Linked DNA regions of Caenorhabditis elegans. The protein of the gene in region 1 purifies or fractionates together with the protein of each later gene. This does not show direct contact. Each region holds a gene or a part of one and is shown in the gene's direction. Other genes may lie near its edges. The genes, in order: rpl-7, icd-1 and rpl-4.

Region 1 (3,774 bases):
CAAATACTACACACCAAAACGGTGAAGACTTGCAAACGCAGTGCTTGCAAGAATTCGATAAAACTCGCGGATGTTAAGAGCGAATCATTTGGATTTCGGGGGCAGTAAATTAAATGGACAAGGCATTTCGAAAAATACACACGTTAGACTGAAAAAAAAAAACACGATGTGATTTATGGGATGCAACACTGCTTCTTTGGTGGGTCGGACGCTGGCGAAGGAATGATTGTACCACTGCCACCGCCATATCCTTGTCTGTCAGTTCCTACATGCTTGTTGGATACTGATTTGTAGATTTCCGTCAGGATATTAGTGAAAGCTGCTTCAACGTTGGTGCTGTCGAGGGCAGATGTTTCTGAAAAAAAAAAATATATAAACGCAATAGATTAGTTTAACTTACCAATAAACGACAATTGATTTCTTTCGGCGTAGATCTTGGCCTCGTCTGTTGGAACTGCACGCAAATGGCGCAAGTCGCTCTTGTTTCCGACCAACATAATCACAATGTTCTGATCGGCGTGATCACGAAGCTCCTTCAACCATCGCTCAACATTCTCGTACGTCACATGCTTAGCGATGTCGTAGACTAGGAGAGCTCCGACAGCCCCACGATAGTAAGCGGATGTGATGGCACGGTAACGTTCCTGTCCAGCAGTATCCCAAATTTGAGCCTTCACTGTCTTGCCTTCTACCTACAAAAATAATAATTTGAATCATAAGTGTATTCTAATGAAGTTCCTCACCGAGATGCTTCTCGTGGCAAACTCGACTCCGATTGTTGATTTTGATTCCAAGTTGAACTCATTTCTTGTGAAACGAGACAGGAGATTCGACTTTCCGACGCCTGAGTCTCCAATCAGAACAACTGAAACAATTTTTCGTTTGGGAATTGAAAAATGAAAAACAAAATTACCCTTGAACAAGTAGTCGTATTCATCGTCACGAGAGCCCATCTTTACTGCTGAGCTGTAAAATGATAAAGCTTGTTTGAAAGTTGTGTATATATTGGGACGATTGTAAAAAAGAAAAAGGGCATTGGTCACATGATTCATCAGCCGGGCGCAATGTTTTGTTGTAAAATCGATATTAAAAGAACGAGACACTGTTTTATCGGCGGAGAATATTTTTATGTTCTGTTCCCGACACAAACGCGGAGTCAGGAACCGGTTGTCTATCTCGACGGGGATTGAAAAAATATAAGTGAACTTGATTTAAGAATGATTCAAAGTATATGGAGTTGGGAGTTTTATATTGAATTTTATCAATATATGAGGGTGGTTAGTCAGAAGAAAAATGTGAAAATGTATATAGAAGTGTGTTATGAAAGAGTATTTGAGGCTTATCATACCCGAAAAAGGGAAGGTGAGCGGCCGAACTTTGTTTGTCGACACGATTTCGAAATAGTTGAACAGGATATTTTTAACAAGGGAAAGCTTTCTCTGGGTGTTCTTTTTTGATAATTTCAGCTAAAAATTGAAAAAAATAATTAGTTTTATGGCTGTGAACATCCAGAATAAGCTTTTCCGAACGCGAAATGCGTGTGAAACCCATAAAATCGAACGTAAAACAGGTCAGGCGCACCGGCGCAGCCACGTCGGTCTGAGGGTACGCGACGCTAGCCGCAGCGCAAGCCTCCTCGGGTCTCGGCACGACAACTACCGTACCCCTTTCGCAGCGGCGCAACGGAATCTCAATTTTACATTTTTTTCTTTTTGGCCTAACGAATTTTTCCGTTTTTTCAGAGCATTTTTCATTGATTTTCTTAAATTTTCATCAGAATAAATTTTAGAACTAATTTCCCGTAATTCTGATACGCGTTTTTTATAGTTTTCGTGAAGAAAATGCTGAACATTCGAAAAATACTGAAATAATTTAGTTTTGAAAACTTGCTCCTCTGTTTCAATATCTTATAATTTTCTTTTCTGATTAATATTTTGATTTTCCAGGTAATCAATCGCCTATAATGGCTCCAACGTAAGTTTTCTTTATAAATTTATATTAGATTGAAATTTACTTTTAGGCCTGACTTTCAAATACTTCAATTTTGATATTAATTCTTGGTTTTTCAGAAAGAAAGTGCCACAGGTTCCAGAAACTGTGCTCAAGCGCAGAAAGCAGAGAGCCGATGCCCGCACCAAGGCTGCTCAACACAAGGTGACCGTCGCCGCTGTAAGTTTATTTAACTGTCAGAAAACAGAAAATGCTCTTCAAAAGCACTGGTTTTAGGATCCACTATTATCCAAGCCAGCCGTCAAAACTGAGCTATAAGAATTATCTTGTTTTTGGGTGAGGTGTATTCAATTCAGAATGCGTCTCAATAACACGATGACAATTCGAAATTTTAAAGTTTAAATTTTCTTTTAGGTGTTTGAAAATTAATTTGAACTAATCCTGCATTAAAAATAAAATTTTTTACAGAAGAACAAGGAGAAGAAGACCCAATACTTCAAGCGTGCTGAGAAATACGTCCAGGAGTACAGAAACGCCCAAAAGGAAGGACTCAGACTCAAGCGCGAGGCTGAGGCCAAGGGAGACTTCTACGTTCCAGCTGAGCACAAGGTCGCCTTCGTCGTCAGAATTCGCGGTATCAACCAGCTTCATCCAAAGCCAAGAAAGGTGAAATTGTGTTAATGAGTTTTTTAATAACCATTCTTTGTTTTCAGGCTCTCCAGATCCTCCGTCTTCGTCAGATCAACAACGGAGTGTTCGTCAAGCTGAACAAGGCTACTCTTCCACTTCTCCGTATCATCGAGCCATACGTAGCTTGGGGTTATCCAAACAACAAGACCATCCACGATCTCCTCTACAAGCGCGGATACGCCAAGGTTGACGGAAACCGTGTCCCAATCACCGACAACACCATCGTCGAGCAGAGCCTCGGTAATTTGAAAACTTATGCTTTTTAATTCTTATTTAATTGTTTTCAGGAAAGTTCAACATCATCTGTCTTGAGGATTTGGCCCACGAGATCGCCACCGTCGGACCACACTTCAAGGAGGCCACCAACTTCTTGTGGCCCTTCAAGCTCAACAACCCAACTGGAGGATGGACCAAGAAGACCAACCACTTCGTTGAAGGAGGAGACTTCGGAAACAGAGAAGATCAAATCAACAACCTTCTCCGAAAAATGGTCTAACTTGTTTGTTGTTCATACCTTCCTTCCGGATAAATCGTTATTGTTTGACGTTGTTTAATTATGTGCATAAATAATCATGAAACGTGATCGTCTTGGCTCGACTCATCTCGCATTTCATGAAGCGTCTCATCATTCAGATGAATCGTAAAACCGCTTTGCTGACTACTCTCCCGAGAACAGTCACTGTTCCCTACTATGCTCCATCCTGTTTATTTCTAGAAACTTTTCTTCGGAGCAAGCTAATTCCCTATGAAGTGAGAGCATTTAGGTTAATAAACATAGTCCAGATTTAAATCCAGACAACGCAATGTTCTCTCTACAATGTACTCCCTCGTGAGCACCTATACCCATTGATTGATGTCGATGGGTATTTCTTCAAAAATTTGATGGAAGGACTTGATTATCTGCTCGCCAAATATGGAAAAGTTGGCTTAAAACTAGAATTTTAGAAAAAGCTTAAATATTCTTCCAGTCTCTGGACTCGGGCCTGACTCCAAAAGAGCGAGCACAGGCTCTCGCATTGAGCGCTTTGCTCGACGAGCTTACTTGGATGCTCGCCTACTCGCGAGGCCAAGATTTCACGTGGCTCCGCGATGATCGTAAGATTATCGAAGACTTCGGGCTTGTTCAGCTCTATT
Region 2 (3,569 bases), on another chromosome or scaffold:
GTTTGAAATAGCTTCAGCGATTTCGTTTGCCACTTCTTGTTGCTCAGCTATGTCTTCCATCAAATCATGAACTTGGTCGATATCCATGTTGTTATGAGCCGCTTTCAACGCCTTGCTAGCAGTTCCCATAACATTGAGAACTTCAGCATTCGTTGAAGCATTTTCGAGGGCTTCTCTCTGGAAAAAAACCGTGCTGTTCAATTAATTTTTATAATATTTCCCTTATATACCAACCTGATATCCGATAGTAGACAAAACTCCGTCAATATGGGCCAACTGCTTCTCGAAATTTCTCTTTCTATTCAAACACTGGAGAGCCATTCGCTTGTTTTTCGTTCCATACTTCACGGCATTTTGCTTTTCCTGAAAGTTTCTCAATTAAATGTCCGAAATTTGATGTTAATTTTAGAATATTATTTTTTGTTGGAAACTGGAATTATAAAACTATGATTCCAATTTCCCAAATGTATCCTATCAGAAAATCTTTTTTAACTTTTCTCGACTAAAATTTGATTTGACGTCAGTCAACAATCCAAATGCTGAGCAATGTTTTAATTACGTCACAAACAGATAGTTTACAAATTTAGATTTCAGCACAAACACTTATTAATGGTCCTGTTCTTAAAAATTATCTTCCAACCTACGTCGATAACTTTTTTCTCCAAGAATTCTTGTTTCTTCTCAAGCATCTCCTCTGTTTCCCGAAGTTTTTGAATAGATTCTTGTGGAGTAGACGGAGCTTCTTGCTTCCTGCCTCCGAAAATTTTGCCGAACAGGCTCATTTTCTGCAAAAAAAAAATAAATGAAAAAGCGAATATACAAAACGCTTAAAAGGAAGTGGTAGGACGTAGGAAAAAAGCACAAGTGGAGACGACAATCAATGGATGAATCATCACTTCAACCAAATAGGCGCGAAGCAAATACGTCATCATTTTTAGATAGTGTAATCGAGAAGAACAAAAAAGAGATCACATGATACATCAGTCAAAGAATGTATTGAAAAGTAAAATTGGGAACTTGTTTTACTAGCAATATAGCAATGGCCCGCCTTTGAGAGAATTGCTATGGAGATTTAATACAAACAAAACGACAATTGCCGGAGCGGCGATCGATTAACAGCGAGCTGGCGAAACACGGAGCACGTTAAGAAGGCATTGCTTCGAATGAAAGATTGCGATAAGTACGTTGCGGGAAAGGGTAGTGAATTGAAAAGAAAATTCAAAAGAAAATGAGGAAAGAAGGAGTTTCTAAACTAGAATTTCACAACTTAAATAAAGCCCAGAAACCCTTGTGATTCATGGTATGGCAGAACGAGACAGCGAGAAAATTGCGAAATAGCTTTGACATTTTAATGATGAAGCGAGATATAGAGAAATAGAGAAAGAAAGGAGTATGAGAAACGACGAGACAGAGAGGGTGAGAGGAAAACGACTGGCAGCAAGCCAGATTCTGCGTATGTGCCCCTTACCCCTATATCAAGAAATTTTAAAGCAAGGGGCACATACGCACGGAATGTTCGGGTCTCGCGAAAAAATTTTCTACCGTTTCGGTGATTTTTTCTGAATTTCATTGTTTTTGACTTCTTTCTATCTTTTTAGATTCTATTTCATTATTGTTTACACCATTTTCATAATTTTCTGTCGATCTCGTAGGTGTATTCGTTTCCGTGCCTGAATTTAGGCTAAAACTGATTCGATTGATAAACTTACATTTCCGTTTTTCGCGTTTGTCCGCATTTTCCCCGTCCCTTTGTTATTTTAGGAATAAATATTCTTAACTGGCTTTATCCTTTTTGTTCTCACGTTTTCACGTCTTTAATTATATTTTTCGTCTTCAGGTAATCCTTCCAAAAATGGATAGCAAGGCTATTGCGGAGAGAATCAAGAAGCTCCAAGCTCAACAGGAGCATGTCAGAATTGGAGGAAAGGTAAATATTTAAATTTATAATTTTATCTCTCCTATTTCTTTCAGGGAACTCCACGCAGAAAGAAGAAGGTCATCCACAAGACCGCTGCTGCCGATGACAAGAAGCTTCAAAGCAACTTGAAGAAACTCTCTGTCACCAACATTCCAGGAATCGAGGAGGTAAACTTTGATTTAAAGTATTAATTTAATTTCTGTAACTTTTCAGGTCAACATGATTAAGGACGATGGAACCGTTATCCACTTCAACAACCCAAAAGTCCAAACCTCTGTTCCAGCCAATACCTTCTCTGTCACAGGATCAGCCGATAACAAGCGTAAGTATTGCTCATTGGCTGAATGTTTTTAACCTTACATATTTTGCAGAGATCACTGAAATGCTCCCAGGAATCCTCAACCAACTCGGTCCAGAGTCCCTCACCCACCTCAAGAAACTTGCCAACAACGTTACCAAGCTCGGACCAGATGGAAAGGGAGAGGACGAAGATGTGCCAGGTTGGAAAATCATAAAAGATTTTTTTTAAATAACAGGTTCATTTTTCAGAACTTGTTGGAGACTTCGACGCCGCCTCAAAGAACGAGACGAAAGCCGATGAGCAATAAATCACTACCCTTTCATCGACCAATTCGCGAGTTTTGTGAGATGAACGGTACGGATAGCATCCGCATTAGTATATCCCATTTTTCTTGTTACTGTTGATCGATTTCAATGAATCTCTTTAAAAAAATACTTGCTCTGTCACCTTTTTTTCCGCCCCCATTAGTGTTCGTTGTTATACTTGTTTTGTATACAAATTTATTCCCGATCCTCAAATGGCTAATAAATGTTAGCTATGTATTTAAAGCAAGCTTTCTACGTTCCGATGATTTTGAATTCTTAGGGGTTCCGGGGATCCTTCTAGTAATATCTGTTCCTCGGTGTTTATTTTCCGTTATTTTGGGTAGTTTTCCACTGACTTCCATTTTGTTAAACTCAATAAAAGTTGCACAAATATTCCAGCTCGAAAGAATATTTTGTAAGGTTAGAAATTCCGAAAAGTTATACTGTGATTTCATCCCGGCGGAAAGCTAATTATTTATAAATCAGGACAATGGCTGACAATCCTGCAAGTTCTTCTTCACAACAGCTTCTTGCTCTGCGGGGTAATTTTAGTTCTCATCATTAATCAATCATAGCTTCGATTTTAGTTATGAGATTGGCTCGTCCAAAATTTGCTCCTGTCGATGGTTTCTCCCACGATCCCGTCGATCCTACAGGATTCGGTGAACTTCTCGCTGGAAAAGTTTCAGAAATATCGAAAGAATCTCGACAAGATCTTCCAATCGGCGAATATTTGATTGCACCACAAATGTTCGAGTGAGTCGATTGATCAAGGCGCTGTTTAAAAAACCGTTTCGTTTCAGAAATATCTATCTGGGAGAGACGTTTACTTTCTATGTAAATGTTGTAAACGAAAGCGAGAAGACTGTCTCTAGTGTGAGCCTAAAAGTAAGTAAATGGACTCATTTTTTAAGATAAAAAGTAAAAAAAAATTAAATTTCTTCGCTCACTGGAAATTCAAACTGGTTGCTGCGGAATTTATCGATTTTCATAGTTTTTTTATATTAAAACGAAAACTCAAATTAATGATAAAATAATTCAAATT
Region 3 (3,612 bases), 4.5 Mb from region 1:
AATGACTGTAAGCATTCCTCTGTCATTCCTCGCCGATACAGTGATTCGAAGCAAAGCTCCAACACTGGCACAAGTTATTGCATCGATTCCGATCCTCGTGGCATTCGTTGGCGCTGCATATGCACAAAATCCGTCAACTTCAATACGAAAAGGGCTTTCAAAACGAGTACGAAAAGTGGAATCATTATCGCCGGACAATGAACATCTTATGGATAGTCTATCGGACGAGTAGCATCTCTCTTAGAAACATTGTTTAAACTCTCTCAGAATCTCTATTTTCTCTTGTTCTACTGGTCGCTTTATAGGCATTCGAAGGTTGTGACACACTCCCCTCTGATCAACTAGTCATATTTAATTTTTTTTGCACTGTATTAAATTCGGGAAAAATAAATGTTTGAAGAAATATCGTTTTATGTTACTTTTATAAACTTGATATTTATCAGACAATTCAGATCGTTCAGTAAATCGGAAGTGAAAATTAATACAGCGTTGGCTTTTTGGTTTTGTGATCAACCCGGCATATTACTAGTAATTTAACGATTAATATTAAAATTATGCCACAAAGCGAGCTTTGGTGTCTTGTCCTGGAACATCAATGAATATTCCTCTTGCAGATGACTCAAAAATCTTGACATTCGCTTTACGCTTTCCATGTTGTTCCTGATCGAATGAATCCAATTCCGGAGTGTAACGGTTTTTGGGATAGTAGCGAGCTAGAGTGTTGTAGGCGGATTTCGGAGTCTGAAAATAAAATGATTGTTTTTAATTTCAAAATAAATTATCAACTTACCAAACTAATTTCCTTTCCAATGACCGTCCCAACTGGAAGATCAGTAAGTTTCACAGATGCCAGACAATTTGAGCGCATACACTCCAGAACCATCATACGATCGGGACGTCCTGGATCAACAACTCGAAGCATTCGGCATCCACAATGAGAGCATTGTTCTTCTGAAAACATACTGGTGTTCGAATCATCGTCCATTTTTCTTTTCGCATTTCTTCGAAATCCTGATGATTCAACTGACGATGTCGACGGTGTTGTGGAAATTATCTCACCTGAAAACTCAATTATTTAACAAAACATATTATTGTAAAACACATACCAACTGTTTCAACGTCGTTCAATTTTCTCAGCGTATCCTCATTTACACGGAAATTTTTCATCTGTGCCGCTTTCCGCAATAATTCCATTCGCTTGTAGTCGATTTTCACGAGAGGAAAGAATGTTGATGTAGAAGACAGCATCTATCCCAAACACTTATGTATTGAAACAAGTAAAAACACAATTAAACTATTTGAAAACGTTTTTAAGCAAGAAAATGGAAGGATCGGGTTTGAAATCAGCGGATACCGCGCCCTCGTAAATTGACACAAGTTGCCTGCCGACATTTCGTCTCATCGCGGCGAGACCCCGACGTTGGATACTCAGCCAATACCCTAATTTTTGCCTCCCTTTAAACACGATTTCCCTGTTTTCTGAAATTTTTTAGGAACTTTTTTCGTTTTTTCAATATAAAAAAGATTTTCGGTGATATTTTCACATTTGGAATGTATTAAAATAAGGTTTTGAATATCCTAAGCCTGTTTCGGTCGAAAAATCTGAATATTGCCTAAAATATCATCATTTTTTCTTTACTCTTCTCGCATTTTTTGAATCATTTTCTTTTAAAATTAATCTATTTTTTACTATTTCTGTTGATTGCAGGTAATAATGGCGGCCAGACCGCTCGTGACTGTGTACGATGAAAAGTACGAGGCCACTCAATCTCAAATCCGGCTCCCAGCCGTTTTCCGTACTCCAATCCGCCCAGACTTGGTGAGCTTCATCGCCGATCAGGTCCGCAGAAACAGAAGACAGGCCCATGCCGTTAACACCAAGGCCGGTAAGTGACATAATTAGATTCGGTTATTGATTATTTTAATTTCAAACTAACTTCTGTGTTCCTCAATTACTATTTATTTCAGGAAAGCAACACTCTGCTGAGTCCTGGGGAACTGGACGTGCCGTTGCCCGTATTCCACGTGTTCGCGGAGGAGGTACCCACCGTTCCGGACAGGGAGCTTTCGGAAATATGTGCCGTGGAGGACACATGTTCGCCCCACTCAAGGTGTTCCGCCGCTGGCACCGCAACGTCAACATTGCCCAGAAGAGATACGCTGTTTCCTCAGCTATTGCTGCCTCCGGAATCCCAGCTCTTCTCCAAGCTCGTGGACACGTCATCGATCAAGTAAGTAAACTTTTTTAAAAGTTTTGTTCCTATTTACAGTACTATTTTTTAGGTCGCTGAGGTCCCACTTGTTGTTTCCGACAAGGTCGAAAGCTTCCGCAAGACCAAGGAGGCCGTCGTCTTCCTCCGTCGCTCCCACTTGTGGGCTGATATCGAGAAGGTATACCATTTAAAAAAATTAAATTTGTTTTTAACGTAACAGTTTTAAGGTTTACAACTCGAAGAGAAACCGCGCCGGAAAGGGAAAGCTCCGCAACCGTCAACACAAGCAGAAGCTCGGACCAGTTGTTATCTACGGACAAGATGCTGAGTGCGCTCGTGCCTTCCGCAACATCCCAGGAGTCGATGTCATGAATGTTGAGAGACTCAACCTTCTCAAGCTCGCCCCAGGAGGACATCTCGGACGTCTTATCATCTGGACCGAGTCTGCCTTCAAGAAGCTTGATACCATCTACGGAACCACCGTTGCCAACTCTTCTCAACTCAAGAAGGGATGGTCTGTCCCACTCCCAATCATGGCCAACTCCGACTTCTCCCGCATCATCCGTTCCGAAGAGGTCGTTAAGGCTATCAGAGCTCCAAAGAAGAACCCAGTGCTTCCAAAGGTCCACCGCAACCCACTCAAGAAGAGAACCCTCTTGTACAAGTTGAACCCATATGCTTCTATCCTCCGCAAGGCTTCAAAGGCCAACGTGAAGAAATAAGTATTCTGTTGTTGATAAACTTTTTTGTTAATAACCGATTTAATTTGTTGAACGCATTGTTTAAATTTCCAGAACGATTTACTTTGACAACAGATTTATTTCAAAAATAATTTAAATATGATCATAAGCTGAGCTGCTAGGGTTATCACATTTCCGAAACGATTTGATGTTCCGATCTATGCGCTGTAAAATATCTTTCATAGATTTTTCTTCTCGGCTACTGTCGACCCGTTCAGTAGTGGCAGGCACAATTTTGCATTGAGTTTCTTGCAAAGATGGTTTGAGATTAGGTTGTTGTGAATTGAAAATGGGTATTCTAATGAATTGCTTCATGAACAAGGCGCTGGGAGACCAAAGCTTGTTTGCACGAACGAGAGATGAAACCTGAAATCGTACATGAACAACAGATAAGGAGAAACAAATGGAACCAACCGAACAATTATGCTTTAATGCTATTCTTTCAAGTGTATCATCGGTTTGAACTTGGTAAATTGTATATGAACATGGTGTAACTGGTGAAGATTGACTTTGGGTTGTGCCGTATCTTCGAACCTGTAGAATCACATTTTAAATGTGCTGTGAGGACCGATTAAGGATTTTGCTTTAAGTTATAGAAAATGATCGAATATAACTGTAAAATTATTTTTAATGAATTTTTCAATTTTGCAAAAAAACTA

The links.
Region 2: the proteins of rpl-7 (region 1) and icd-1 purify together in Caenorhabditis elegans (affinity purification with mass spectrometry; 2 studies listed by BioGRID, with this or other methods). This does not show direct contact.
Region 3: the proteins of rpl-7 (region 1) and rpl-4 purify together in Caenorhabditis elegans (affinity purification with mass spectrometry; 2 studies listed by BioGRID, with this or other methods). This does not show direct contact.

Annotation. Positions count from the first base shown.
Region 1 is NC_003279.8:109,092-112,865, forward strand, and holds rpl-7 (Large ribosomal subunit protein uL30), read left to right. Parts: upstream 1-1,946; 5' UTR 1,947-1,963; coding exon 1,964-1,974; intron 1,975-2,069; coding exon 2,070-2,169; intron 2,170-2,195; exon of another isoform or gene 2,196-2,345; intron 2,346-2,418; coding exon 2,419-2,616; intron 2,617-2,663; coding exon 2,664-2,880; intron 2,881-2,927; coding exon 2,928-3,136; 3' UTR 3,137-3,181; downstream 3,182-3,774. Other genes in the region: Ras-related protein rab-11.1, read right to left, coding at 174-355, 401-692, 744-865, 914-953; F53G12.9 (GST_C_6 domain-containing protein), read left to right, coding at 3,274-3,390, 3,436-3,561, 3,609-3,774. UniProt on the Caenorhabditis elegans protein: Binds to G-rich structures in 28S rRNA and in mRNAs. Plays a regulatory role in the translation apparatus; inhibits cell-free translation of mRNAs.
Region 2 is NC_003280.10:6,586,924-6,590,492, reverse strand, and holds icd-1 (Transcription factor BTF3 homolog), read left to right. Parts: upstream 1-1,837; 5' UTR 1,838-1,852; coding exon 1,853-1,927; intron 1,928-1,971; coding exon 1,972-2,085; intron 2,086-2,131; coding exon 2,132-2,240; intron 2,241-2,289; coding exon 2,290-2,418; intron 2,419-2,467; coding exon 2,468-2,526; 3' UTR 2,527-2,916; downstream 2,917-3,569. Other genes in the region: vps-32.1 (Charged multivesicular body protein 4b), read right to left, coding at 1-177, 235-363, 645-782; C56C10.7 (putative trafficking protein particle complex subunit 13 homolog), read left to right, coding at 3,015-3,066, 3,112-3,280, 3,328-3,412.
Region 3 is NC_003279.8:4,645,060-4,648,671, reverse strand, and holds rpl-4 (Large ribosomal subunit protein uL4), read left to right. Parts: upstream 1-1,708; 5' UTR 1,709-1,714; coding exon 1,715-1,886; intron 1,887-1,892; exon of another isoform or gene 1,893-1,946; intron 1,947-1,968; coding exon 1,969-2,231; intron 2,232-2,283; coding exon 2,284-2,391; intron 2,392-2,440; coding exon 2,441-2,935; 3' UTR 2,936-3,010; downstream 3,011-3,612. Other genes in the region: B0041.5 (Solute carrier family 35 member F5), read left to right, coding at 1-232; B0041.8 (Plus3 domain-containing protein), read right to left, coding at 553-741, 791-1,059, 1,107-1,248; lmd-2 (LysM domain-containing protein), read right to left, coding at 3,047-3,319, 3,368-3,487.